Oryctolagus cuniculus: one gene and its partners. The main gene of each other region encodes a partner of the protein of the gene in region 6 in a complex. Links are inferred from orthologs where the notes say so. Each region holds a gene or a part of one and is shown on either strand. Other genes may lie near its edges.

Region 1 (4,085 bases), on a different chromosome or scaffold from region 6:
TGCGGTAACCACCCAGTCCCGGGTTGCCGTACTCCCACTGCCGCTGGCCGGTCACCGTCAGGTTCTGCCCAGTCACCTGCACCACCAGCTCCTCGGGGGCGAAGCCCTGCGCGTCCATCTTCATTTGGAAATCGTCTGCGGCCCGGCCATGGTCCTGCACAGCGGCCGGGTGGTCCCTCAGCAGCTGCACCGGCAGTGTGGCCACCTGATTGCGTTCAGCGAGGGCCACACTGGGACTCCTCGACGCCACCTGGTTCCCGTTGGAGAAACTGCTGCCGACCCGCTGCATCCAAGTGAGCAACTGCTCTTCAGGGGCACGAGGCTCCGAACGCAAGGCCCGAGCTCGGCCAGGCGTGTGGACTCCAAGGAAACGGGAGCGGGGTCCTCACGAGGCCCCGCGCGGCTCCCCCGGGTCGGGTTGGGTCGGGTCGGGTCAGGCGGGGGCAGCTCATTCCCTTTGACTTCCGCAAACTTCGGCTGGGTCCGGGGTCAGCTCTGCCCGTCCTGCCTCCAGGAGCGGGCTGTCAGTTGCTCAGGAGCACCCGCTATACTTTTACCCTGGCCCTGCCCTTTCTCCACCACGGCACAATGGAGCCACTGAAGAGGCTGGACGCCGGGAGCAGACACTCGGCAGCCACCGACCGGCCAGGGGCAGGGAAGCCCATTGCTGGCAGAGACAGCGGGCGGGGTCCTCCAGGTCCTCCATCGCGGCGTGCCCTGCTTCTCCCTGAGCACACGCACGAGGGAGGCGGGCACATCCCTCCCTGTCCTCGGGGTCTGGGGCCACAAAGATGATGGCGCGGGCATCCCGCGTCCCAGTGGTTTTCCTTGTCGCTGCTGCGACCACAGCCGCGCCCCTGGAACTCTGTGTTTTGATACTAAATTCTCTCCGTTGAAGGATAACAAAGTGCACAACGCAGTACAGGTGGATGGTACACAGCGCACGCCCGGGGTAGCCACCGAAGCTCAGAGCTTCGGCCACGTCTCAGCCCCTGTGCGGCTGCAGCCCCGCGTCTGGGCCTCACGGGATGGGGCCTCGGCCCCCGTGGGGGGCGCCTATTTCCTGGGATGCACCTCCCTGTCCCTAAGACGGCAGCAACCGGAGCCGTCCCGGACGCCTTCCAGATAAATTGGGAGCCAGGAAGTCTGGGGTGCTAGCTGGGGCTCCCCTTGGCTGCCTGGTACCAAGAGAAAGGACGGAAAAGTCTGGAAGCTGGAGGCCAGGGGCGCGGCGGTGGAAGACTACAACTCCCGTCGTGCGTCGGGCCTGTGGCGCCTGCGCACTGCGCACCGGTTGCCCATGCGGCCCTAGGGCTGGGAGCGCGGCGCCGCTCCGCTGCGGGGGAGGCCATGGCGGAACCTTCTCAGGCCCCGGCCCCAGTCCCGGCTGCGCAGCCCCGGCCCCTTCAGTCCCCAGCCCCTACCCCAACTCCTACTCCTGCGCCCAGCCCTGCTTCAGCCCCGACTCCGGCTCCCACTCCGGCACCAGCCCCCGCCCCGGCTGCAGCCCCAGCCGGGAGCACAGGGACTGGAGGGCCCGGGGTAGGAAGTGGGGGAACCGGCAGCGGGGGGGATCCGGCGCGACCTGGCCTGAGCCAGCAGCAGCGCGCCAGCCAGAGGAAGGCGCAAGTCCGGGGACTGCCGCGCGCCAAGAAGCTTGAGAAGCTAGGGGTCTTCTCCGCTTGCAAGGTGGGGGCGGGGCCTAGGGTGAAAGGGGCGGGGCTTGAGGGCATCCCTGGGCTCGGGTGGGAATGGGGGGCGACGCTCTGGACGCTTAGCGGCCCCTGCCCCTGGGGTGCGGGGGTCGTTGACTTATCTCCTGCCTCCAGGCCAATGAAACCTGCAAATGTAATGGCTGGAAAAACCCCAAGCCCCCTACTGCTCCCCGCATGGACCTGCAGCAGCCTGCTGCCAACCTGAGCGAGCTGTGCCGCAGCTGTGAGCACCCCTTGGGTAAGGCAGGCAGCGCCCTTGCAGGTGGTGGGCGCCAGGTGCTGGGGCCTGCTTGGACAGCCTGATTTCGCTGCCAGGAAACCTCGTCTCAGGACCTTAGGAGGTGTGGGGTTGGGGGCAGGCAGGCCGAGAGGGAGGAGAAAGGGAAAGTGCCAGCCGGGAAGATGCGGGGCCACCTTTGGAAGTCTTGGCTCCCTGCCGAGCAGGGCGTCCATGCCTCCCCACCCCGCGGCCCGGGCTGGCTGTCTTGCAGCTGACCACGTGTCCCACCTGGAGAATGTGTCAGAGGATGAGATCAACCGGCTGCTGGGGATGGTGGTGGATGTGGAGAATCTGTTCATGTCGGTGCACAAGGAGGAGGACACGGACACCAAACAGGTCTACTTCTACCTCTTCAAGGTGAGCTTCCGCGAACGGGCGTGAGTGGGGGGCAGGGGGGCTCTCAGTTCTGATGCTCCCTCCCTCCCTCCCTCCCTCTTCCTGCAGCTCCTGCGCAAATGCATCCTGCAGATGACCCGGCCTGTGGTGGAGGGGTCCCTGGGCAGCCCCCCGTTTGAGAAGCCTAATATTGAGCAGGTGGGGTGGGGCACGGGGAGCTGGGTCCTCCCTCCTGCTCTAGCTGAAAATCAGAGGGGATCAGCCGGGGGCGTGTGTTCTGTGCTGACTGCAGAGTGGGGTGGAGGAGGGGGGGCACTTTGTCACGAAGCTGGCTTCTTAGCCCTCCTCCCTGGATTTGTTCCCCACCCCACCCCTTCCCAGGGTGTGCTGAACTTCGTGCAGTACAAGTTTAGCCACCTGGCTCCCCGGGAGCGACAGACCATGTTCGAACTCTCCAAGATGTTCCTGCTTTGCCTTAACTACTGGAAGCTGGAGACGCCCGCCCAGTTCCGGCAAAGGTCCCAGTCGGAGGATGTGGCTACCTACAAGGTCAATTACACCAGGTAGGCCCTGCCCGGGCGGGGGCTGGGGGGGGATTTGTAGACCTCCCCATGTGCTCTCACCCTGCTGTCCCCACCCCCAGGTGGCTGTGTTACTGTCACGTGCCCCAGAGCTGCGACAGCCTGCCTCGCTACGAGACCACTCACGTGTTCGGGCGAAGCCTCCTCCGGTCCATTTTCACTGTTACCCGGCGGCAGCTGCTGGAGAAGTTCCGAGTGGAGAAAGACAAGCTGGTGCCGGAGAAGAGGACCCTCATCCTCACCCACTTCCCCAAGTAAGGCTCGTTCCGGCCCACTGCGAGTTTGCCCCAAGTTCACGTCCTCCCTGTTGTCCCCTTTTTTCCAGGAAGCCTTCCTGGATTGGTCCCTCCTCTCCCTCCATGGGCCTTCTGGGATCTGGGCGTCTACCTGGCAGACTTGCCCATGGCCCAGAAGCAGCTTGCTAGTAGTTGCCTTTGCACGGCCTAGTCTGGGGATGGCAGGTACATGGCCCCGGCTAACGCTGCCCCTCCCACACCCTGCTAGGCGTTACTAATTGTTTCCCATGGGGGCCTGGACCCAGCCTCAGAATCCCTCCCACCACAGAGCTCCAAGAAGCCAGCGCTGACACCTGAGGTGACAGCAGTGTCCGCCCCGCGCTAGTCCTTTCTGTGCCAGTGTCCCCCCGTGTGCCACACCTCTCTCCCATCTTAAGCCTGGCTCGTGACTTCTCTGTTCAGAGAGCCTTGGCTGTCAAATCCGGGCCCCTGAGTGCCCCTGCCACCAGGTGGGAACAGGAGGTGGTGAGTTGGGGTGGATTCCTAGTCATCTTGATGCTGCGGGGAGCAGGGGGACCCAGGGGGACGTGGTGCCCTGCCTGGCTACGGGGTTGGTATTTAGCTCGGGCCCTGTGGCCCTGTGCTGCCCGAGATGGCCAAACTGGGCCCCTTTGCTTGGTGTGTCCGAAGCTCTCACCTTGCATTCGAGGCTCCCGGGAGCCAGGGGGCCGTGCCTGCCCCTGTGGCCAGGGCTTCCCGCAGGGCAGAGCTTGCTCTCAGACGCGCCTCGCAGGGTCTGTCTCTGGCCACGGCACAGCCGCAGCCCCCCGGGGGCCCGGCCCAGGCCGCCTTTGGCGGGAGGGCGGAGTCGTGGACAGACGGCGCCCTCCCCCCAGGTTCCTGTCCATGCTGGAGGAGGAGATCTACGGGGCCAACT
Region 2 (3,500 bases), on a different chromosome or scaffold from region 6:
CATACTTACTACAAAAATTGGTAATGCCCGCTGTCCTATATTCCTGGAGTCTCTTGATTTCTCTTCGGAGCTCAAATTCCACTGTTTTCCCCAAGAAGAAGAAAAATTGAAAAAAATAACCAATATGAATGAGCACTTCTGCTATGTGTTTTCAGTCATTCTGCTTTGGAAAAGGTTGGGCAATTTCACTTGGGGAATCCTATCTGCTGATAACTTCTCATTAGAAATTTTACCTAAGAGCTGAGAAAACCTCTTCTGGCTGCTGTCTCTAAGAGACAGATGGCTTGTTTCCTACAAAACTTACAGCGAACTGATTGAACTCATCTGTCTACCAGAGCTACCGATATAACCTGAAACAGTATTCAAAATGACAGAGAAATATCTTCCATCCCGGCTTTACTCTCCAAACGCCTACAACAGCCAGCTGGGCCAGGCTGAAGTCTGGAGCCTGGAACTCTACCTGGGTCTCCCAGGGGTGGCAGGGACCCAAGTCCCCGAGCTACCATCTGCGTCCTCCTGTGGTGCACATTAGCAGGAAGCTGGACTGGACGCAGAGGAACCAGCACTCAAACCAGGCAGGCGTCCCAAGCAGTGACAGCCGCCTGTCCCGTGAATGTCATCTTTTAAGTCCCCGAGTTTTTCCTGCTCTACCTATCTTCTGTTGAAAGTTCTACTCACTTGACTGAGATTTTATGAGATCTCTGGGATTACTTAATGTGGCCCTTGCACAAGGGAAGGACAAAAGCTCTGTATGTGAGCCCCAGTTAGTTTCTTCAGAGCTCTTCTCCTGTAGTGACAAAAGAGCATTGTGTTTTCCACAAACCAAAAGGTTCTGCCTCCTCTGAACACAGGTCATGTTGCTATGATATGATACAACACTCACATGTGGGTGCTTTTGAAGCAGAGGACAAAGGAGAGCCTAGGCACCTATGGGGTGTGGTTTTCTGAAGTGACACATAAAATGGGACAGGAAGTAAACGATCAGGCATTCAGTACAAATGACATCAAGAACGCCAACCAAAGAAGGTGTTGGTGAGGACAATCAACTTGGCTCAGACAAATGCTTGCAATGTTACACAAGAAGTAGCTGCAAGAGGACAAAATGGAGAGCCTTGGAAGAGAACCTTTCAAGACTAAAGCTTGAATCCTCCGCCTTGCGGCGCCGGCACACCGGGTTCTAGTCCCAGTCGGGGCGCCGGATTCTGTCCCGGTTGCCCCTCTTCCAGGCCAGCTCTCTGCTGTGGCCAGGGAGTGCAGTGGAGGATGGCCCAAGTCCTTGGGCCTTGCACCCCATGGGAGACCAGGAGAAGCACCTGGCTCCTGCCTTCGAATAGGCACGGTGCGCTGGCCACAGCGGCCATTGGAGGGTGAACCAACGGCAAAAGGAAGACCTTTCTCTCTGTCTCTCTCTCTCACTGTCCACTCTGCCTGTCAAAAAAAAAAAAAAAAAAAAAAAAAAAACAAACAAACTAAAGCTTGGGAACCAAATACACAAACTCCTGATGAACGATACAGACTAAGCCTCCTAACTGAGTTGGTCTGAAAGGTCTTGATCCCTTAACCACTTTGGTTTTTTATTGTTGAAAATGAAATGGTAACTGGGCAGAGCTCTCTTAGGGGTACGAAAGGCAAGAGAATGAATGATGAAGGTACTATTCCTATGAGTTACCTAATTCTGTTCCCATTTTAAAACCTAGTTTCAATACAGAAACATGGAGTTCGTTATATTACCTCTACTTTTCTATTCTCTTGTCGTATTCCCACAGTCTCACATTTATCTCATAGTAATAAGAAGGAACAAAGAGAAATATCTATTTATTTACAGAACTCCACACAAAACACACCCTCTATTTATATAAACACACACACATACACACACACAGATACCAGCTCAACAAGGCTCTAAAACCACCTACGTGCGTGGCTTTCAATGAATTTGTCATGTTCCACTGGTCCCACAATCCTTGCAAATCGCCTCATTGTTTCATAAAGGTCTTGGACCTCCTTGGGATACCGCCGTTCCATTACTATAGAGAAAATAAAACACAAGTGTGTCGTGGAGAACGTGAGGATCCTGACATTTTCTGCATTTAAAAAAAATAAAAAGTCAAATGGAAGGATATTAGTCCTAACCTCACATGACTAACGTACCCAGGACAGGAAGCAAACAGAAAGCCAAGAATGCCAAAACGCTACTCCTAACAGTCACAGCATCACAGCAGCTACCACACAAAGGGCTTGTTATCGCTAGACCATCTCCACTCTCACACTTCACTGTTAGGGCAGGAACTGCTGGCAAGGGGGGCTGGAGCGATAACATAAAGGCAGATTTTGCATTCTTAGAAACAATGCTAGCCAAATTTATGCAATTAGGAATCTGCAAACACAATAGCCCACTAGAGGAGCTATATGGGCTGGGAAAAAGTGTGTGCTCTCTTGTATACCCTACCTGGAATGTTCTCCTTACCTACACATCCTCAAATGAGGAATTTTTCTTCATCCCCCCTGCAGACCATTTTGCCTTTCTCTAAATGAAATTAAGCACTGCAATGTAATTCACTACTAATGATGCTATATTGTGACCACTAAGGCCCAAGTAAATGGTCACACATGCAGGGTAACCAGGGCCAACAACTCTCAGGACCACTTCTGACCAAACTTCTTACCAAAAGAGGTTTCTGCCAAGGTGAGGGGCGACTGCCAACAGCTGGAAGGTCAGCATAGCCAGGATATCTCGAGCTGCTATTTGATCTCAATTAGATAATCAACAGGGCAATGGACTTTAGTCTTGGACTAAAGATACAGGCTTTCACTGATGACAGTTATCTAAATTAATCCGCTTTCCAGATCCATCGTTTTGTTCCCTTGCAGGAGACATTCCTATTTTTTTAAAAAAGATTTATTTATCTATTTGAAAGACAGAGTTACAGAAAGGCAGAGGCAGAGCCAGAGAGAGAGAGAGAGGTCTTCCATCTGCTGGTCAGTCCCCAAATGGCCACAACAACCAGAGCTGGGCGGATCTGAAGCCAGGAGCCAGGAGCTTCTTTCAGGTCTCCCACGTGGGTGCAGAGGCCCAAAGACTTGGGCCATCTTCTACTGTTTTCCCAGGCCATAGCAGAGAGCTGGATCGGAAGTGGAGCACCCGGGACTCGAATCAGAGCCCATATGGGATGCTGGCACTGCAGGCGGTGGCTTTACCCACAATGCCACAGCCCCAGCCCCATAGGGGACATTTTTATCCACAAATACCAAAAATGAATTTGATGAGGAGCCACAGTCTGGTTATTTTGACTTCAAAAATAGTCCTCACTAAGGGGATACCACAGAAGAATTTGGAGTACAATTTTAAAAATTTGAAGAAAAAAAGAAAAACCCACCTACCATACTACAGTCACTAGTTCATTCAGTATAGTGGCAACTGAATATCACTGAAAACAAAATGCACTTGGCATTTCTACATTCTGAGAGGTAACAGGGCTTCTCCTCAGCCCTGCATCTGG
Region 3 (3,500 bases), on a different chromosome or scaffold from region 6:
CTTCCCACACAGATCCTCTCTCTCCCCCAGGCCGGGGCTGAGCAGGGTAGCAGGCCCCACTCTGACCCTAGCCCTGTAGCACCATCTCCTGCCACAGTGACTGGGGAACCAGCTGTGAGACCAGCCAGCTGCTGCTCGCTCCTGCGCTGAGCGCGACCTGCTGCCACCCAGTAGCTGCAGGGAAACCCACCCGAGGCCGAAGCTGACCCTGGGGGAGGCCACGTGGAGACACCCGAGTCGCGGCGGCGCTGCTGAGCTGCCGGACCTCTGAACCTGAGCCACGAGCCCCTGGCAGCAGTCACCTGCAGCCCTACGTGTCCGCAGAGCTCCTCCTGTGAGCACCAGTGTGCACGCCCCGAAACTGCCCCCCGCCCCCCGCTTCCTCCCACCCACAGCAGCTGACATTCAGAGTGTGGATGCTTTTTTTGAAAAACCACAGCAGTCACTTTATTCTTAAGTTTGCACTTTACAAAACCACAAGGGAGAAGTCCTTGAGGGGGAGGGGAGGTGGGGCTTCAGGGAGGGGGATGCAGAGAAGGGGAGTAGAAAGAGCCAGAAATGAAGCCCCGCCCCTTTCCAGGGACTGAGCAGGAGCTGGGCCCGAGGCCAGCCCAGCAGGGCCTCCTGCGACCCGACCCCGTCATCCCGGCTGTAGGAGACTCCCGCAGGGCTCCATCCCCCGTCCCCAGGAGGCTGCCTGTCAGGCCCAGTGAGCAGCCCCAGGCTGCAGGGGAGGGGGGACCCAGGCTGCAGGGGAGGGGGGACCCAGGCTGCAGGGGAGGGGGGACCCAGGCTGCAGGGGAGGGGGAGACCCAGGCTGCAGGGGAGGGGGGACCCAGGCTGCAGGGGAGGGGGAGACCCAGGCTGCAGGGGAGGGGGGACCCAGGCTGCAGGGGAGGGGAGACCCAGGCTGCAGGGGAGGGGAGCCCCAGGCTGTGGGGGGGGGAGACCCAGGCGGGGCAGGCGGCCCGGGCTACCCGTCCAGCAGCTTCAGGATGCTCTCGCGCTCCTTCAACGTCTTCCAGGCCTGGTCCTTCTCCTTCTTGGTGGGGGTCCGCTTCTTCTGCCGCGCGGCCATGATCTTGCGGAAGGCGTCCATGACCTCGTTGTCGGCCATGCGAACCCGCTGCCTCAGCTCCTGGCGGCTCACCTCCTCCTTCGCCAGCCTGTGGGGACAGCCGGCCACGCGCCCATGACCACGGCAAAGGCGATGAGCCACGGTTCACTGGCACTGTGCGCTGGGCACTACTCTAAGTTCTTTCAAATATTAACTCACGTTGGCCACAGGGGGAGCTGTGCGTGGGTGTGGAAAGGCTATGTGGGAAATCTGTCCCTTCCTCTACAGTTTGCTATGAACTTCAAACCCCTCGGGAAAAATAAGTCTTTAAAAACGTATCTGCACCGGGGCTGGCGCTGACCCACAGCGGGTGAGCCTCCATTCCCAGTGGCAGCCCCACATTTTAGGGTGGTGGTTCAAGCCCTGGCTCCTCTGCTCCTGATCCAGCTCCCTGCTAATGGCCTGGGAAAAGCAGTGGGAGATGTCCCAAGTGCCTGGGTCTCTACCCCCATGGGAGACACAGATGGTGCTCCTAGCTCAGCTCGGGCCATTGCATCTCTGGGGAATAAGCCAGCAGCAGATGGAAGATCTGTCTCTCCCTCTCTCTCTCTGTAGCTGTTACTTTCATATAAATAAGTAAAACTGGCTGGGGCAGGCTGAAGCCAGGATCTTGGAACCCCATCCAGTTCCCCTACATGGGTGCAGGGGTCCAAACACTTGGGCCATCTTCCTTTGCTTTCCCAGGTGCGTTAGCCTGGAACCGAATAGAAGGCAGAGAAGCTGGGACTTGGAACCGGAGCTCAGATACTGGACGCCCCTGTAGGAAGCAGCAGCGTACCCACTGCACCGCAGCACTGGCCCCCGAGGTGTTTCCGTACTGCACGCCCTCTCCTCTCCCTCTCTCTCTTCCCTTGCTTCCTCCTTCACCTGCGTGTCTCCTCATCTCTGGGAGGAACATGGACTATAAAGAATCAGACGCTGTGCAGGGCTCGAGCCTCAGCTGGGCTGTCTGCCAGCTGTGTGGCCTCCAGCGAAGGAGGCTCCTCTACCACTTGCTGAGCACGGGGAACACCGGCACCCGGGCTGGCTGGGACTGAAGGAGTCTCCTTCCCCTTAAGCACGCCTGCAAGTCCTCTGCCTGCCTCCTCCCAGCCCCCAGCCCCCAGCCCCCAGCCCAGCGTGTGAGAGAGGAGCTGTGTGAGGCCGAGACATGGCACCTTCCTGCGAGAAGCCAGGGGCCGGGCTCCCGGCTGCTGCACTGCCTCCCAGGAGGGAGGGCAGCTCCTGGCGCCGTCTCCCTCCTGCTGCCACCTGTGTCCTCACGGGGACCCCGCGGCCCCAGGTGGCCGGGAGGTGATGAAGCGCACGGCACTGGGTGGTTTCTGGTGATGGGCCAATAAAAACCAGAGATGTCCACCAGTGTCACCGGAGCAGCCTGCGCACGGCACCCACTCTTCGAGACTTTCTGTCGCAAGTACTTTGTGACCGCACGTGGGCGTGACACCGAGCGGCACAAGGAGGCTCAGCAGAGCGGAGCACGCACGTCCTTGCTGCTACGCCCCGCGTGGAGCGACGGGCACGAGGGTCGGCCTGCCCCTCTCACCGTAAGGACCGGGGCCGCCCGTCCATCCCGGGACCTGCTGCTGCTCTCGGCTCTCCAGGGGCGCCCGCTCACCTCAGCAGGTCGTGCTTCTTGGTGCGGTTGTGCGCGCTCAGGGCCTTCAGCTCCGCCTGCCGTTTGCGCAGCTCGGCCAGGACCTCGTCCTCGGAGTCCTCCGCGGGGCGGTCCTCCGACTCCAGCAGGCCCTGGGCAATCAGCTCCTCCTTGATGCGGCTCTCCAGGGACTTGGTGTGGGGCACACTGTCGGGGAAGGACGCCAGTGCCAGCCGGGGTCTCTGCCTCGGAGGTGCCCGCCCGCGCCGTGCATCCAGACACAGAAACACGGAGACACGGGCTGCCGCCGCGGCACCAGCATCCTGTCAGCGTGCGACGGACGACCTCGCTCCGCCCGGGTCGGAGCCCCGGGCCAGCCTTCCCACCCGAGACCTCTCCCGGGCACAACTGAACTGCCCCTGGCCTGTAGGCGGGGGCCTTCCTGATGCCAACACGGACGGATGCGGGTGCCAGCTGTGGGTGTGCACAGGACGACACTCACCTGAAGGGCTTGTTCTGATTGCGGGGGGAGGTGCTGGCCCCGTCGGCCCCCGATTCCTTCGCAGACATGTCAGGAATGGGCGAGTCCTCCATGGGGGAGATGATATTTTCCTGGAAGGCAGCAGCGACAGGACAGCCTTCAGAGACCAGCAACCTGCTCTCCTTGCCTGCCCCGGCCCCGGGGCCCCGAGAGCTCCCCTCATGGACCCGGGCAGCGTCCCTCACGCCGGAAGTCCCTCGCTCTGGCAGGGACAGGGGAGCGGTGGTGACCCTCGGTGGTGGTAGGGG
Region 4 (4,145 bases), on a different chromosome or scaffold from region 6:
AATACGTTGCGTCTGACTTCCAGTTTCCGGCTTAGCCATTTCGTGACTTCTCTTAAGTTGTCTCCCATGAAAGAGAAAATAGGTGGAGGCCCTGAGAGCTTTGATCCGAATAACATCAATTACATATCTGCAAAGCTTCCTCTTCAAGACAGTGCAAGCACACGCACGTGGGGGTCTGCTTTCCCCGCTTACCACTCCTGGGCCCAGACCCTGCTCCTTTCCATGTCAATCCCAATTCGGGTAACTGGGTAGATTTCTTTTGACAATACCCGGCCCTGCTTTGTCCCCGAACGCAGCTAACTGACTGTTTCCAGGCCTGAGTCGATCTCCTCTCGCCCGGCCCTCCAGCCGGCCCTTCCCGGGTCTGGCACTGCAGCTGCAGAGCAAGCGCGTGACTGGGACCCCCGCTACAGCGAGGCGCACGCTCGCCCTGCCCCAGCCCTAGCCCCAGCCAGGGAACGGGGTCCCGGGTCCCAGCGCGTGTGTTGGGACAGCAGCGAGCGGAAGCGGCTGGCTGCGAGGACGGGCGGTTCCCGCCCACGAGGGTGGGGGAAGGGAGGTAGCCACACCCGGAAGTCGGTCTGGGAGGTGGGGGAAGCTGGGGGGAAGCGGCTTCCGGTGGCGCAAAGGGTGTCGGGAGCGGCTTCCAGCAAACCTTCTTCCCTGGGCTCAGAAGGGACCACCGTTGCCGCCGCCTCGGCTTCTACGATCTGCGTTCGAGCTAAACGGCCACGCCGGCCGCCCCTGCGGCACCCCCGGTGCCTGGCTCTGTCCGTATTCGTTCCCAGGCGTCCGCCGCGGTTCCAGTAGCGGTCGCGGCCGACATGTTGTGAGGCGGCGGCGCGGGTGTCTGAAGGATGGTTCGGCAGAGGCGGCGGCAACGGCTGCTGGCGGCGGCGGCAGCGGGGGCTCGGGCTCTGTAGAGCCGAGCCCGGTGGGTGTCCGCCCGGTCCTGCGGCGAGGCCAGTGCCCCTGGATCTTGCCTCTGCTCCAGCGCCGTTGGGGACTTGGTTAGGCGACAGCGCCCGCCCCTCTGAGAGGATACCGAAGGTGGTTCTCCAGCCAATTTCCAGACCATCGTGCTTTCTCCTCCCTAGCTTGAGCAGTGCTGTCCCCAGAACCCCCCTCTTCCTCCGACTTTCTCCCCAAACTCGCCCTAAATCACACACCAGAGGGCTCCCCGCCCTCTCGAGGGCGCGCTCCTCCCCCTTCCTCATTTTTCTACACCCTCTTCAGAGCGCCCCCCGGCATCAGGGCGGCCTTTTGACAAATTTCCGTGGAGTAGGGGACCAGGGCCGGGGAGTTTTTTTGAAAAGTCGGGGCGCGCGGGAGACAAGAAGGTACGATGGCTTCCTCGTCTGGCAACGATGATGATCTCACGATCCCTCGAGCTGCTATCAATAAGATGATCAAAGAGACTCTGCCCAATGTCCGGGTGGCCAACGATGCCCGAGAGCTGGTGGTGAACTGCTGCACTGAATTCATTCACCTTATATCTTCTGAAGCCAACGAGATTTGCAACAAATCGGAAAAGAAGACCATCTCGCCGGAGCACGTCATCCAAGGTGAGTCGCTTGAATGGGATTTGGTTTCCGTGAGGGTCCGGCGCGGGGGAAGGGGGCGCTGTTTACGGTTCGTGGGACCGGTTCGTGCCCACGCCTTCGGATCTCTTCCCCGGTGAGTGCTGTTAATGAAAAAGCCACGGGCGCCTGGGAGCAGCTGGTGCCTTAAGAACATACCTGTGTAGCTAGCATTCTTGCCATACCTTCAGCCGGCGAGTACTTGTCGGGAGAACATTTAGGTCAGCGAACATCCCTACGAGGGAAAGTGTTGGTGGGGGTCTCCATCTGCAGCCGGGGAAGCCAGAGCAACCACGATTGGCAGCCCCAAGTGGGAGTTGGAGAAGAAAGACGAGTGGGAAAGGAGCCCAGTTCTTCTCCCTTGGAAAGTTAAAGTTCAGACAGAAACTTCAGGCATGAGCGGAGTCCCAGCACAACAATGTGGACGAGAAGATGCACTTTCTGATTACATGAATAGCAGAATTCTTTACGTGAATGTTTTTAAAAGAAAAGTTAATTGGTGTTGAACAAAGGGAGTGTATTTTCTCCTTTAAAAATGGTTTGCTTGTGGTAGGTTCATCAAGTTAGTAATGCACGCCTGTTCAGTTTTCTTTAAAAAAAAAAAAGGGCGAGTGTTCTTTCTTTTTTTGTTTGTTTTTGCTTTTATGTTGCTTGCTTTATTTTTTGGGGATAGATTTTAAAAACCTGGATTGAAAGATTATATAAGAGATTTTTTTTAAATGGAACATTTCCCCGTCCTTCCCTGCTTCCATTCCCATTTGGATGTAGCACTTAAGTTTTTATTGAATAGCACTTCTGAAAGTTTCAATAGTTCCTTTTCTCCAAACTTGGAAAGGATTTAGTCCGGTATTATGGAATTGGGAGACTGGATTTTGATGGTTTTAGCGAGGGGTGGTGTACTTACAAGTCACAGTGTTTTGGAAGGCACTTTCTATGACTTGTACATGTACTCTTAATGAAAAAGTTTGAGGTGAAAACTTGTTTTTTATAATACCTAATTAAAATCTAATGATTGATTTTGAAATCAGAAAAAAATCATGGTTAATTTTAATCATTTTGACAGACAGGCAGTTGTCTACAATTTCAATTTTAGAATTTAACTTTTTAAAAGGTGACTTTAATGAAGTACAGAACATTTCTGCTTTTATTGATCATATCCAATCTTTTATTGTCAATATTGATGAAAGGATTAAATGATTCATTGTTGATTCTTTGTGATATCCTGAAGGTAGTTCTAAAACTTTTTTTTTTCCTTCATTTTATTTGAAAGACAGAAAGACAGAGATCTTTCATCGATCTGCTGGTGGTTCACTCCCCAAATGCTCCCAGCAGACCAAGGCTGTGTCAGACCAAAGCCAACTCCATCTGGGCCTCCCACATGAGTGACAGAGCTGCGCTGTGGCACAACGGGTTAAGCCACCATCTGCAGTGCTGGCATCTCGTATGGGCTACGGTTGGAGTGTTGGCTGCTCCACCTCTGTTCCACCTCCCTGCCAATGGCCTCAGAAAAGCAGTGGAAGATGGCCCAAGTGCTTGGGCCCATGTACCCACGTGGGTGGACCCAGATGAAGCTCCTGGCTCCAGGCTTTGGCCTGGCCCAGCCCTGGCCATTGTGGCCATCTGGGGAGTGAATCTTCTTTTTTTCTTTTTCTAACCTTCAAATAAATAAATATATCTTTAAAAAAATACTGGAGCCATTACCTGATGCCTCCCAGGTGCATTAGTAGGAAGCTGGATCCAAAGCAGAGAAGTCAGGACTTGAACCAAGTACTCCTTTAGGTGATGTGGGTGTCGGAAGCGGGGACCCAACTGTTTTGCCAAATGCCTGCCCTTTCAGTACATAATGAGGAAAAAAATCCCTAGGAAAAAAATCATGTTCGATTTTTAAAGCTAATATTTTTTTTTCTACCTGGTTGGTGTGCTGAATACTACAGCAAGTAGAATGAAAGCCAAGGTGTCTATTTTTCCTCTTGTGTTTTTATTTTTACAGTTGTATGCGTGATTGCTGTCGTCAGTCTTTCACAAGAGTATTCAACACAGATAGCTATAATTTTCCTTTGCAACTCATAAAAAAGGAAAAGGATCTCTTGTAAATATTGCCTTTCTAATGAAAGTTGCAAAAGATTTCAACAGGATCTGGCTAAACATTTGTTTACACTACAGAAGTAGGGGTCATTCCAAAAATCTAATAACACATTACAGTCTGTCTTGGGAGAAAGTTTGTTGTTTTCTAGGATATATTTAGATTTCTGATTGACATGATGGAGTAAAAGTGCAGCTGTAGTGTGCTAAATAGTTCAACTTTGGAATATGTTAAATTCAATTTAATGTATGAGACAGAAAGTTACAGTGAAAGCATTTTCCTTGTGTAATAAGGATGATTTATTAATTTAAAAATTATTAGCTTTTATAGTTTTATACATTTATCTTTTTATTCCTTGTGGTATTACTATTGTTAAGTGGTAAGAATCTGAAATTTTGTCCCAATTGGTGGATAAATTTTGTATGATTATAAGCTCATTGCTTAATAATTTTAAAGTAGTTTTGTTTTGAGAGGTTAAAATT
Region 5 (4,209 bases), on a different chromosome or scaffold from region 6:
CAGCAGGTTAAGTTGCTGCTCGTGACACCAGCAACTCCACACGAGCCCCAGTTTGAGTCCCAGCTGCTCTGCTTCCAATCCAGCTCCCTGCTAATGAGCCCAGGAAAGCAGTGGAAGACGGCCCAGGTACCTGCCCCTGCACCCACTTGGGAAGAGACCTGGATGTGGTTCCAGGCTTCCAGCTGTAGCCGGCCCAGTCTTGGCCACTGCAGCCATTTGGGATATGAACCAATGGATGGAAGACCCCTCTCTCCACCTCTCCCTGTTTCTCTAAAACTGCCTTTCAAATAAATGAATAAATACTAAAAAAAACAAAACACAAAAAAAAAACCAACCAACCAAAAAATGGTTCAGACGGGTTACGTTTAACAAGGTAACAGCAAAAAGCAGTTGAGGTGGGGTTACAAGGCTGCCAATTCTAAAACCTACGCTCTTCCTCTGAACTCCAATTTTGCCACAACTTCAACGTGCTCAGTCCTAAAACAACTCACAGAAGTAGGAGCATTTCGTCTCTTACACACCACCCATCAACTGGTCGGTTATTGTGACTATACCAAAAGTGTCACCAGAAAAATGGTGATCACCATGGCAACTAAAAAAGAGACAGGAAAATGTGATGGTGCCTATTATGTGTCAACCTGCCTGGTGAGACACTGTTTGCAGGTGGGTCTGGGAGGGTGCCTCCAGCATGGGCATCGCCCAGCCTGCTGGTTCTCAGGCCTCTGGGCTTGCACTGGAACGGCACTGGCTTTGCTGGGCTTCGAATGCGCAGGTGTTGAGTCATGGACGGCAGCTCAGCCTCCACCGTCCTGTGACCCAGGCCATCATCACACATCTCTCTCTGTGTTAACTACAGAGAACTGTTCAGTTCTGTTTCTCTGGAGAACATTGTTAAAAAAAAAAAAAAAAATTTGTTTGCTTATCTGAAAGACAGAGTGACAGAGAGAAAGGAAAAGATAGACAGAAATCTTCCACCTGTGGTTCACTCCCCGAATGGCTGCTTTCTGGGTCTGCGCCAGGCTGAAGCCAGGAGCCGGAACTCCATCCCCGTCTTCCACGTGGGTGGGAGGGGCCCAAGCACTTGGTCCATTACCGACTGGCCTCCCAGGTGCTTTGGCAGGGAGCTGGGTGGGAAGCAGAGCAGCCAGGACTTAAACAGGCGTTCATGTGGGACGCTGCTGTTGCAAGCGGCAGCTTTACTCACTGTGCCATGTGCTGGCCCCTGGAGAACCTTGACAGATTAGAAGTAACAAGGAGGGGCCAGCGCTGTGGCGTAGTGGGCTAAGCCTCCGCCTGCAGTGGTGGCATCCTATATGGGCGCTGGTTCAAGACCCGGCTGCTCCTCTACCGATCCAGCTCTCTGCTGTGGCCTGGGAAAGCAGTAGAAGATGGCCCAAGTCCCACATGGGAGACCCAGAAGAAGCTCCTGGCTCCTGGCTCCTGGCTCCTGGCTTCAGATCAGCACAGCTCCGGCTATTGTGGCCATTTGGAGAGTGAACCAGCAATGGAAGACCTGGGACACAGTCCAGAAAGGAATACAACACAGTTCCAAAAACTTACTTGCAGGTAACACAAAGCACTAAAAGAGACAAAAAAGGACCAGGCAAGTCTGAACATACAATGATGCCAGATGTCAAAAAAACAAACCCCAGTCAGAGAGGACTCAGCCGCTGGCCAAGAGGATGCCCACAGCTACCCATCAAGTAGCGAAATTTCAAAGCCTCAATCAACATTGACTGAGATGGATGGAGGAGGAGGGGAGTTGAGACGCAAAGACACCAGGCATAGCTCAAGCTTTCCAGCCCGAGAAGCTGGAAAAACAAGACAGACGAGGGAAGGCACCGATGTGCAAAGGATAAAACTCAAAATTAGCTCTGGACACATTCCGGGAGGCCAAGCAGCCATTTCAAAGCAGGGAGCGCGCTCCGCAGGGAGTCCACGGGCTGAAGACAGGCATCCAAGAAGTTGGCAGGACCGCAGAGGGTATTTAAAGCGTCAATCGGGAATGTCTAGGGAGCGGACAGCCACAGAGAAGAGATCTGGGATGCAGCTCTGGGGTGGGACACGCATTAAAAGCAAAGGGGCGGCCAGCGGGACAAGGGGAGAGGCGTTCCCGCCACGCACGGGCGCTGCTGCTAGAGGCTCTGAGGAGGAAGCGTGCTGGCCCTGGGCGACACACCTGCGCAAACCAGGTGGTTGCAGGTGTCAGGACAGTGGACGGGCTGGCGGGTGCGCTGCCCCACCCTGGCACTGGTTCAGCAAGGATGCTGCAGTCCCGGCCGCGCCCCTCGCCTCGCCCGGCCGCACCTGGCCGAGCACCGCACCTGCGCGCGCCGCGGCTCCCCACTCTCGCGCCCCGGGGCCCGAGGGCGCACGCGCAGACCCCACGCCGCCCGGCCGCGGGCCCCGCCGCCACGGCCGCGAGCCGAACCCCGCCTCTCCCGCCCAGGGCGCGTGCGCGCCGCACCCCACCGAGCGCCCCCTCAGGCGAAGCCGGGACGGGGGACGGGGGCGCGCAGGAAGGACCCGGTGCCCTGGTTCCCGAGCCTCTCCGGCGGCCGCGGGCCTGACCCATGCCCACCTGCCGAGTCCCGGGCGAAGTAACCTCGGCGCGCTGGAAACAGCGACGGAGAAACAGGCGCGGTCCCTCGAACGCTTTTTCCGAGCCTGCGGATGCTAACGCACTCGCGTTCGAAGATTCGCGGCACGTCGAGAACCACACACGCTTTTTTTCCCTTTTATGAGCTTAGGCGAGCGCGGCGGACCCGTCTGCGCAGGCGCGACCCTCCCGCCGTGACGTGCTGCGCTGCCCCCTGGGAAATGTAGTTTTTAGTTTGACACCTGTGCCCAACTCTTAACTGAAACTTCATTTTGCAAGACTTATTTATTATTGATTTATTTTAGCGTCTTCTCAAAAAGCCTCAATTTTAAAACAAAAAGCAAAGCAATTTAAGAGTGAGCATCTTGTGGTTGGGGGGACGGCAGGATATACGGAAACTTTCTAGCTCAAATTTGCTATGATCCTAAAAATGCTCTGGAAAAATAAAGGCAGATTTTTAAAAAGCAAGGATTAATTAAAAAACATGTCGATATTTAGAGCCAGAAATCATGCTTTCAGGGAGTCTTCCCAAAGTATTAAGGATATGCACATGCAAATATTTAGTTCATCAGAAGGCGGTCATAGTATTTTGCAAACTTTATTTATTTATGTTAATTGAAAAGCAGAGAGATACAGAGATATATCCCGTCCACTGGTTCACCCGACAAATGCCAGCAATAGCCAAGGCTGGGTCAGGCTGAAATCAAGAGCCCAGAATTCAATCCAAGTCTCCCACGTGGGTGGCACAGACCTACCTACTTGAGCTGTTATCTGCTGTCTCCCCGCGTGCACATTAGCAGGAAGCTGAAAGTGAGAGCAGAGCCCAGCCAAAACCCAGGTTCTCTGATGTGGGATGTGGGCAGCCCAAGTGGCCTCTTAACTGCTCAGCCAAAACGCCTGCCCCACATTATAGCATCACAATTTTTTTTTTTTTTTTTGACAGGCAGAGTGGACAGTGAGAGAGAGACAGAGAGAAAGGTCTTCCTTTGCTGTTGGTTCACCCTCCAATGGCTGCCGCGGCCAGCACACTGCGGCCGGCGCACCGCGCTGATCCAATGGCAGGAGCCAGGTACTTATCCTGGTCTCCCATGGGGTGCAGGGCCCAAGGACTTGGGCCATCCTCCACTGCACTCCCTGGCCACAGCAGAGAGCTGGCCTGGAAGAGGGGCAACCGGGACAGAATCCGGTGTCCCGACCAGGACTAGAACCCGGTGTGCCGGCGCCGCAAGGTGGAGGATTAACCTAGTGAGCCGTGGCGCCGGCCTAGCATCACAATTTTTTACACAACCCCTAGGAAAGTATATATTTATTAATTGATTTTTTTGACAGGTAGAGTGGACAGTGAGAGAGAGAGATAGAGAGAAAGGTCTTCCTTTTCCGTTGGTTCACCCCACAATGGCCGCTGCGGCCAGTGCACTGCACTGATCCGAAGCCAGGAGCCAGGTGCTTCTCCTGGTCTCCCATGCAGGTGCAGGGCCCAAGGACTTGGGCCATCCTCCACTGCCCTCCCGGGCCACAGCAGAGAGCTGGCCTGGAAGAGGGGCAACCAGGACAGAATCCGGTGCCCCAACTGGGACTAGAACCTGGTGTGCTGGCGCCACAGGTGGAGG
Region 6 (4,047 bases):
GCTTTCTGCTTCTCTAAACGTGCCTGGATCTACCCCAGACAAAAAGAATCCATCTCTGGAGTGGCGCCCGGCCCTCGGCCTAACAGTCCCCAGGTGACATGAAGACACGGGAGTGGAGTGTGATGCAACCACAGGGCAGTGTGAGGGCACAATACAGGGTGTCCAACCCAATAAGAAGACAGGGGAGCTAGAAAGAGAGGGCTGGGTCCCAGGGGCACGTGAGGGAGAACTCGAAGCTGGCCCGGTGAAGGGGCGAGCCTGTGCATGCAGGGGAGGGCACACAGACTGCAGAGGAGACACAGGACAGGCCACATCCTCGGCACAAGAAAGCTCTCCCAAAGCTCTCTCTCTCTGTGTGGGGATGGAGGAACCAAGGGCGATAGCAGGGGCCTGACCATGAGAGCAGCGAGGCACTGATCCTGCAAGGACAGGGAAAGCCGCTCAGCAGAACCCTGAATCGCTAGGGACAGCTCAGAAGCAACAGCCAGTAGTAAGCAGCACATTCCAGGCATGTTTTCTGTGAAAATGCCATCATTAACTTACAAATGGCAACTATTAATCGGAATAGCTGAACCCATTTTAACAAAAACATTTCCAAATCCCAGAAAATGGCCCACTTCACAATCATGCACAAGGGTACTTCAGAAAGCTCGGGGAAAATGGAATTAAAAGATAAGTTTATTTGGGTGCAAAACAGTTTTGAGATCCAGGTACAGCTTTTCCATAATATGAGTTTTCCATAACTGTTCAAAGACCCTTCATACATATAAATTTGTCTGTTATGAATTCTATTGCAAAAGCATTCCTCCAGTACCTACAGCTCTTCAAGCCCTTGCCTAATGGCCCAGTCCTGTTGGGTACGAATCACATGATGGCTGGCAAAGCTCAGAATGAAGCAACCTGGGAATACGTGTGCTGGCAGATGGGGGCAGGCCAGAAGGTGAGAAACAAGACCACCCCAGGAAAGGGGCACAAGCATCTTTAACCTGCTCATGCTGAGCTGTAGCAAACAGCAGTCATTTTCCACATAGTTAAATATTAACAGGGTACTTTTCAAGAACTTGAACTTTAATCTATAATGTGTTGTGGTGCAGCTGGTAAAGCCGCCACCTTCAAGGCTGGCATCCCAAATGGGCACCAGTTCTTCTAACAATTGCTCTACTTCTGACACAGTTCCCTGCTAATGGCCTGAGAAAAGCAGCAAAGATGGCTCAAGTGTCTGGGTCCCTGCAACCGACGTGGGAAAGCAGAGGAAGCTCCTGGCTCCCAGCTTCAGTCTGGCCCAGCCCTCATGGTTGTGGCCATCCGAGGAGTGAACCAGCAGATGGAAGAGCGCTCTCTTTCCCTCTCTGTAGCTTTTTTTTTTTTTTTTTTTTTAATTTGACAGGTAGAGTTATAGACAGTGCACCCAGGAGCAGGCAGAGCACATGGAGGAGACGCTGAGACCTTGTTTTTGGACATCTTCTAGTGTGTCTACTGCCCGAGTAAATCCGGGGCCAGTGTGTGGCGCGTCTTGGGCAGACAGGGGGCTCTGATGGACTGGCTCCGAGTTCCTTCTGAGCTCAGCACCACAGTGCTGGTGTTTTGGTGCCTCCTACGTGAGGGGTTCTCGACACCAAGCCCCCCTCCCTTCACTTTCTTTTGTTTCTGACAAATCTCCCCTCCACCCCTACCCCTTCCTCATAGTCTTTGACTCTTCCTGCAGATCATTTTGATTTACTTCTTTTTTTTTCTTTATTTGACAGGTAGAGTTATAGACAGTGAGAGAGAGAGAGACAGAGAGAAAGGTCTTCCTTCCGTTGATTTACCCCCCCCAAATGGTCGCTGCGGCCAGAACTGCGCTGATCTGAAGCCAGGAACCAGGTGCTTCTTCCTGGTCTCCCATGCGGGTGCAGGGCCCAAGCACTTGGGCCATCCTCCACTGCCTTCCTGGGCCACAGCAGAGAGCTGGACTAGAAGAGGAGCAACTGGGACTAGAACCCGATGCCCATATGGGATGCCGGTGCCACAGGCGGAGGATTAACCAAGTGAGCCACAGTGCTAGCCCACCCTCTCTGTAGCTCTTTCAAAATAAAATAAATCTTTAAACAAAAAACAAAGAAATCTACAATGGGATTAGATTTGGTCACAAATGTTAGAAAAATGTGGCTAATTCATTAACACAGGATTTACAATTTTCCAATTTTTACTGGTTTACTATTAAGAGTACTAATTTAACCATGTGAAAGAGGTTGATAATAACTTTTATTAATTCAAGAGCACCTTCGTTTTATGTAAGTTTGTGGTTAATAAACTAAATAATATGATAATTATCCTTTCATTTAGGTCTATCTTACATTCATGTTTCTTTCCTATCCTGGAAAAAGAAACCCTCACACCGGAATTGACAAATCAAAGCAATGGAGAAGCTCCTTACTGGCTGGTATCCATTTCTGGCACTTGTCGCAGAAGTAGGACAGCTGCTCCTCCATCCAGGACACATCTCCTTCGTCGCTGTTGAGGGAATCCCCACTCTGGTCATGAGACAGGTCCACAGATGCCTGATCCTCTGATTCGACAATCAGGAGCGTCTCCCCCTCCACTTCCCCCTCCTCCAGCCCCTCCGAGGTGGACGTCCTCGTGGCTTCATCGTCGTGTCGACTTATCAGACTACTCAGGTGGATGCTGCTATCCATTCCTTCCTTCTCACAGGTTCAGGAGTGCTTCTCAGCGCCAATCCTACGCTCTGAGCGCTGAGCTGACATGCGCTCCCACAGAGACAGAAGCTCCTCAGGAGGGCACCCGCCCACGGCTTCTTCATTCAGACAGAAGGAATTTTTACAGCAGCACTGTAGATTATATGATCCATTATCCTCTATTTGATAAGTTTACAAGGACAATGACCAAAAAAAGGTCCTTAAGCTATTCTCCATCAACACACACACACTGCACGCTGTCCTTCCAACAGTTCACCGTCATTTCAAATCATGTTTTCTGAGAGCCTTTTTCCAGTAAAATCTTCTCTCTTTCTGCTTCAAGTTGCTCAGTCAAAATAATCTGTTCTCCCAAAAGACGAATGTTTTCTTTTTTCCGATTTTGCCTCTCGATGTCTCGGATCACTCCGTCACGAAGCCTCTAAAAACGTAGGAAACAGATTTCAGTAACACCCCGAACAGGTGTTCCCACCCTGGTGCCTTTCAAATCCAAATAACAGTGTTACCAAAATACGCTTAAAACAGATACCCAATTACTATTTTAACTTTCTGTACAAATGTAAAATGTAATAAACCACCAAATAAATTTGGTGGTGTGCTATTTTATTACTGAAATGACTTTGTACCACTTTTAAAGAAATTCCTGAAGACCTAGTACAGAAAATTTAGTGGGAATAACAAAAAAGAAAAAACTGGCACTATGTTGCATTTAAAAAGTTTAACCAATATATGATATATTTAAAACTTGGTGAGTTGCTACAGTAATACTATGAACTACTTTTCCCTTAGCAATCATCCTAGCTTGAATAATAAACACCAGAAGAAAAAATATTAGTCTGAACAATTAATACAAGAATCAGCTTTTCTAGTCAGAAAAGTGAAATGGTAAAAATTATACAAAATTAATAATTATATAACAGAGAAAAGGAGGGAGGGAAAAGGAATGCTACTAGCAGAGAAAAAAAATAAAATAAAAAGGCCAAAGTCAGTGTTGCAGCTTGGCAAGTTAAGCATTGCTTGCAACACCAACATCCCACATCAGAGTGCTGATTCAAGCCCCAGCTGCTCCATTTTTTTTTATATAAAGATTTACTTATTTGAAAGGCAGAATTACAGAGAGAGAAGGTGGGGGGGGGGGGAAGAGAGGGAGAGAGAGAGATCCTCCATCCACTGGTTCACTCCCTAAATGGCCGAAACAGCCAGGGCTGGGCCAGATGGAAGCCAAGAGCTTTTTCCAGGTCTCCCATGTGGGTGCAGGGGACCAAGACTTGGGCCATCTTCCACTGCTTTCCCAGGCCATAGCAGAGAGCCTGATCAGAAGTGGAGCATCTAGGACTCGAACTGGTGTCCATAT
Region 7 (4,168 bases), on a different chromosome or scaffold from region 6:
CAGAACAAAATCATATTTAGAAAACGGTAAAAATCTATAAAGCTAATATCTACTTTAGAATGAAAACCGCCATTTGCAATCTTTGAGTGAAAAGTGAATCACCAGAAACTTTTCTAGGAACATGTGTTTAAGAATCAATTTAACTATATTTTTCAGAAATAACGTTTTTCTATAAATAAAGGTGTTACATCCAATTCAAATACAGATCTTATGAGCTATAATTATAATAAAACAAAAAGATGAATCACTATGCAAGAAATCAGATTCAAGGTTACCAATAAAAACACCATATTGAATGAACACATGTGACAGAACCTTACCGCTCTCTGAACATGACACCAGAAGCATTTAAAGTCCAATATTAGACAACTGTACACAAAGATTAGTTAATATTATAGTGACTTTAACAATTTTGTCAGACATCTGCTATCATGTACAGAAGTAACCCAATACCAAAATTTTACAGCCCTCAAAGAGATCTATAGTTGGTTACAATAAATTGATGGATGTGGTTTTGGAAGAAAGCAAAGAAATCCTCAACCAAGGCAAGGCAACACATCTTCTGGAGAAAACACCTTACAGAAAATAAATCCTAATGTCTGGATTACAACTTCATTTCAATTAATAATGGAAGCTTTTAAGGGTAATTAAGGATACTTGGTCTTTTAAGAAAACCACAAAATAATGTTGCAAATTCGTTCTAAAACTATCCCAATTTATCCAAAATTCAGTCAACAAATTCCCTTTTAGTAATAAATTCTATGCATTTTTCTCTTAAACTTGGAATAGTAAACCAGTCAAAAGTCTATCAGTTTGCAATTAATTGGACTATTTAAATCTGTACTTTCAGTAAAACTTTATTAAATTATGAAAATCTGAGCAAGCATTAAATTTAGTTTGGTAAAATGAACCATCTATAAGCCCATTAAGGATAAAAATTAGTAAATTTTGCCATCTGGAATAGAAAACATACAATTTTATGCTTCCAACTGAGAGTTAATAATACGATGATATCTAGTATGAACTTGGGCATATAACAACATACATGCTAAAAAAACTTTAAACTTATTGCAAAAGGAAACACTGATGTGGACATGGTTCTCTGACTTTCATTCTTAAACAATACATCTCAAACTACAGATTGTCATCAAAATGGTTAGCAGTGAATTGAGAGGCAATCATATTTTTGATACTTATATAGAAGGTCCCTTGCCTATGTCAAGAAAACCTCACCAAATTTTTACCCTAAACATTTTTGACAGGTGACGCAAGTAAACTGTAATCAATTTTCTACTTGTACTATTAGAATATCTGAATTAAAATTTTTAAAAGTTTCAAAAGTTCAACAAGCAAATATTTCAAAAGCAATGTTTAAATTATCTCTCAGTATGAATTTGTACAAATATCCTATCACTGGGGCAGGAGGAACTCTACAAATAATGGATGACCATACATTTTTCTCAACCTGATATCAGAATATGAATAAAATGTAATGTTCCAATGTCCAAGCCATAAAAAGTTCTGTAACTTTTCAACCATTTAAAAGGTCCTTGGTCTTCTAATAACCATCAGAAGTACCCACGTCCTTGGCAACCCACCGAGTTTACAAGGTGTACCACTTAGGAGACTCTATTAATAACTGCCTCATTACACAAAACAGAATGCTTACTTACAGTAATGTTCTTTATAAGCCACAACATGCCAAGCTTTTTAAAAATACTCCAACAGCTTTTTAAAAAGGTGTCTCTCCATACCCTCAAGGATTTAAAAGGGAATTTTCAGAATTCAGACAAATGCTCCAATTTCATAGGAACTTATCTTTGACACAAATGCCTGTTTTCACCACATGCACTAGTAACAGTCCCAGAACAAAGTTACAGTAAAATATTGTCTCCGTAAGATAAGGAAGAAATTATTTCTTTCTAAGAGGCAGACAAACACACCGCAAGGCTATTCCTCGTTTAAAATTCAATCCGAAGTTTACAGCTTGAATCTCAATACTGACTATCAGTGTTAAGAACCCACCTTTTAAAATCCATTTTATAAGGTAGGTCTGCAAAAGCGGTTTACGAGCCAATTAAACTCCTTCCTGAACACCTCGTCAGACGGCAGTTCTACCGCAAACAGCAACTTTAAGTTAGAAGTTGATTAACCGTTTTACTCTACTCCCTGATGCAAAGTGTAACAGATGGGCACACACCCACAGGGCAACCAGAAAGAAAACCAAGTGACTCAGAGGGTCGCTTTTCCAAAAACTTCAGTCCGTACTGACCGACCACCCAGTTTCTCGAAGGAGTAAGCTGCCGGGAACAAGACCCCGAGAGCAGGCACCCCTAAACCCCGACGGAAGCTTTTCTGCTTCCATTCCCTGCAGACCTGCTCCGCGGGCCACTGGGTTTCCCCTCGGACCACCCTCGCTCCCTCTCTGAGAGGACAGCAGCGTGGTCATCTGGACCGCAGCCGGTACCGAGCGAGGGCGGGCACGGCCGCCGCCGGCTGCCCCCCGGCCGGCCTCCGCCACAGGGACAAGTGGGGGAAGGGCGGACGGCCCACTGCCCCGGTTCCCCGGGCCACCACCCACCTGTCCAGCCAGGGTGTGCAGAGAGCGAAAGAGTTCGCAGAGCACCTCTCGGGAGAGGCTGGGGCTGCAGCTGCGTTCCAGGTCCCTGTCACCGATGCTCGGGTAACTAAGCTCGGTAGCAGCGGCCATGACACCTTCGCAAGCCGCCCCCGCCAACGCCGAGATGCACTCACTACTCCACCCCTCCCTCTCCTGCTTTCGTCGCTCCCCGATGACGTAAAAACAAAGCGTCTCGTTTAGATAGGGCTTGCGGCCCCACCTACCCCGTGTGACTGACAGGCATGTTAACCAATCAAGTGTTAACTACAGCTTTGCGCCAAGCTGGTAACTGCTGACTGGCGCCAGGCTAGATTCTCTATTTGGAGCGGTGATTGGGGTTGTAGTCAGCTGACAGCCTCGTGGAGCCTATTTTGACTCTTAAAGGTTTCTTCTGAGTGTTGGTTAAGAGGAGAGTTAGATTTTAATGTTAAGAGTTTGAGGCCCCAAGTTAACATTCGAAATTTTAACAAGGCAGTATGGCGTGGTTTGGAGAAAGATTGCTGGTCAGAATGGGTGGGTGCCACACGTGTTTCTAAACACTAAGAAACTTCTAAGTGGATAGAACGTGCACAACTCTACAGGGCTGTTTAAAACGTACACAAGTCAACACAACTAATTTTTCATACAGGGGAAAGGAGGAGGTAAAAGAACACTGTGCTCCATTATGCCTTGCTTTTCTATGGGGGGGACGACGTGACTTGACTGACTGTGATCTGAGATTGAACCCCTATAATGGAAAGACAGGGCCCAGCCTCTTGTCTGTCTCCAGGAGCCCAAGGTGTCCTTGCCTGTCGGGTATCAAAAGGAATTCACTGAACTGGGGAGAGATACAGCTGACCCGACAAAGTTCCACTCACAGGACTCAAGGAGTCCCTTGTTGGCCAGCACTGCTTGGAAGGAGTTGTTTAGGGGAATTCCAGGTCTGGAGTAGAAGGAAACTACCATTTGCTTGTAAGCCCCACCTTCACCTCTCCTAGGCCAACAGAAGCCCACCTGGGCATCAAAAAAATTCTCTAAGGAGCACAGCATCACAGACCAATCAAAGAAAACTCACTAGCACACTGACCAACCGGGAACCTGAGCATGAGCTGACCCTGCACCTCTCAGCTCCAATTTCAGTCTATAAAAAAACACCCCAAATTCCCCGGGGGAGCTCCAGCAGGGAAATGGCAACAGCTGCCCCTGGGAGGGGACCCAGACTTGGGGGTTCTATAACGACAGCTCCAAGAGTTTGGGGTGGTTGTCCTGGAACATATCTGCTAAATAATTTGTCAGGTTTTAAAGTGTGCAGCAGTTGAGTGGTAACTTTAAAGATGCTCAACCCTTAAATTGTTTCAAAGAAGTAAAACACTGTCTATGTGATTCCAACAGGAATTTAACCCAGGTTAAATTTCACACAGATCACAATCTTTGAATTAGAAGGGCATAAAACCTAATTAAACTTGGCAAAAACATTCTCAGATTGATTTTTATAAAGGTGTTTGAAGGGCTTGCTAATGTTTTAGACTTAACATTAAAAATTATCACTTGAAAGTTTTAGAAGTTTTC

What was found.
Region 1: KAT14 (region 6) and KAT2A share a complex: the UniProt entries of both Homo sapiens proteins name them as parts of the ADA2A-containing complex. The link is inferred for Oryctolagus cuniculus from reciprocal best matches to the Homo sapiens genes KAT14 and KAT2A.
Region 2: KAT14 (region 6) and TADA2A share a complex: the UniProt entries of both Homo sapiens proteins name them as parts of the ADA2A-containing complex. The link is inferred for Oryctolagus cuniculus from reciprocal best matches to the Homo sapiens genes KAT14 and TADA2A.
Region 3: KAT14 (region 6) and TADA3 share a complex: the UniProt entries of both Homo sapiens proteins name them as parts of the ADA2A-containing complex. The link is inferred for Oryctolagus cuniculus from reciprocal best matches to the Homo sapiens genes KAT14 and TADA3.
Region 4: KAT14 (region 6) and DR1 share a complex: the UniProt entries of both Homo sapiens proteins name them as parts of the ADA2A-containing complex. The link is inferred for Oryctolagus cuniculus from reciprocal best matches to the Homo sapiens genes KAT14 and DR1.
Region 5: KAT14 (region 6) and SGF29 share a complex: the UniProt entries of both Homo sapiens proteins name them as parts of the ADA2A-containing complex. The link is inferred for Oryctolagus cuniculus from reciprocal best matches to the Homo sapiens genes KAT14 and SGF29.
Region 7: KAT14 (region 6) and MBIP share a complex: the UniProt entries of both Homo sapiens proteins name them as parts of the ADA2A-containing complex. The link is inferred for Oryctolagus cuniculus from reciprocal best matches to the Homo sapiens genes KAT14 and MBIP.

Annotation. Positions count from the first base shown.
Region 1 is NC_091448.1:20,670,861-20,674,945, forward strand, and holds the start of KAT2A (histone acetyltransferase KAT2A), read left to right. Parts: upstream 1-1,285; 5' UTR 1,286-1,350; coding exon 1,351-1,689; intron 1,690-1,829; coding exon 1,830-1,953; intron 1,954-2,206; coding exon 2,207-2,352; intron 2,353-2,439; coding exon 2,440-2,529; intron 2,530-2,712; coding exon 2,713-2,894; intron 2,895-2,974; coding exon 2,975-3,166; intron 3,167-4,044; coding exon 4,045-4,085. Other genes in the region: HSPB9 (heat shock protein beta-9), read right to left, coding at 1-289. UniProt on the Homo sapiens protein: Protein lysine acyltransferase that can act as a acetyltransferase, glutaryltransferase, succinyltransferase or malonyltransferase, depending on the context.
Region 2 is NC_091448.1:38,175,175-38,178,674, reverse strand, and holds part of TADA2A (transcriptional adapter 2-alpha), read right to left. Parts: intron 2,028-3,500; coding exon 1,917-2,027; intron 82-1,916; coding exon 10-81; intron 1-9. UniProt on the Homo sapiens protein: Component of the ATAC complex, a complex with histone acetyltransferase activity on histones H3 and H4. Required for the function of some acidic activation domains, which activate transcription from a distant site. Binds double-stranded DNA.
Region 3 is NC_091441.1:116,929,346-116,932,845, reverse strand, and holds the end of TADA3 (transcriptional adapter 3), read right to left. Parts: exon of another isoform or gene 3,324-3,500; coding exon 3,214-3,323; exon of another isoform or gene 2,919-3,213; coding exon 2,733-2,918; exon of another isoform or gene 1,802-2,732; intron 1,167-1,801; coding exon 974-1,166; 3' UTR 421-973; downstream 1-420. UniProt on the Homo sapiens protein: Functions as a component of the PCAF complex. The PCAF complex is capable of efficiently acetylating histones in a nucleosomal context. The PCAF complex could be considered as the human version of the yeast SAGA complex.
Region 4 is NC_091438.1:77,320,208-77,324,352, reverse strand, and holds the start of DR1 (protein Dr1), read left to right. Parts: upstream 1-1,345; coding exon 1,346-1,565; intron 1,566-4,145. UniProt on the Homo sapiens protein: The association of the DR1/DRAP1 heterodimer with TBP results in a functional repression of both activated and basal transcription of class II genes.
Region 5 is NC_091450.1:7,541,753-7,545,961, forward strand, and holds the start of SGF29 (SAGA-associated factor 29), read right to left. Parts: upstream 2,801-4,209; 5' UTR 2,582-2,800; intron 1,371-2,581; exon of another isoform or gene 1,205-1,370; intron 88-1,204; exon of another isoform or gene 1-87. UniProt on the Homo sapiens protein: Chromatin reader component of some histone acetyltransferase (HAT) SAGA-type complexes like the TFTC-HAT, ATAC or STAGA complexes.
Region 6 is NC_091442.1:43,070,543-43,074,589, reverse strand, and holds the start of KAT14 (cysteine-rich protein 2-binding protein), read right to left. Parts: upstream 2,801-4,047; 5' UTR 2,676-2,800; coding exon 2,417-2,675; intron 1-2,416. Other genes in the region: protein PET117 homolog, mitochondrial, read right to left, coding at 2,965-3,114. UniProt on the Homo sapiens protein: Component of the ATAC complex, a complex with histone acetyltransferase activity on histones H3 and H4. May function as a scaffold for the ATAC complex to promote ATAC complex stability. Has also weak histone acetyltransferase activity toward histone H4.
Region 7 is NC_091443.1:39,322,967-39,327,134, reverse strand, and holds the start of MBIP (MAP3K12-binding inhibitory protein 1), read right to left. Parts: upstream 2,801-4,168; 5' UTR 2,711-2,800; coding exon 2,582-2,710; intron 1-2,581. UniProt on the Homo sapiens protein: Inhibits the MAP3K12 activity to induce the activation of the JNK/SAPK pathway. Component of the ATAC complex, a complex with histone acetyltransferase activity on histones H3 and H4.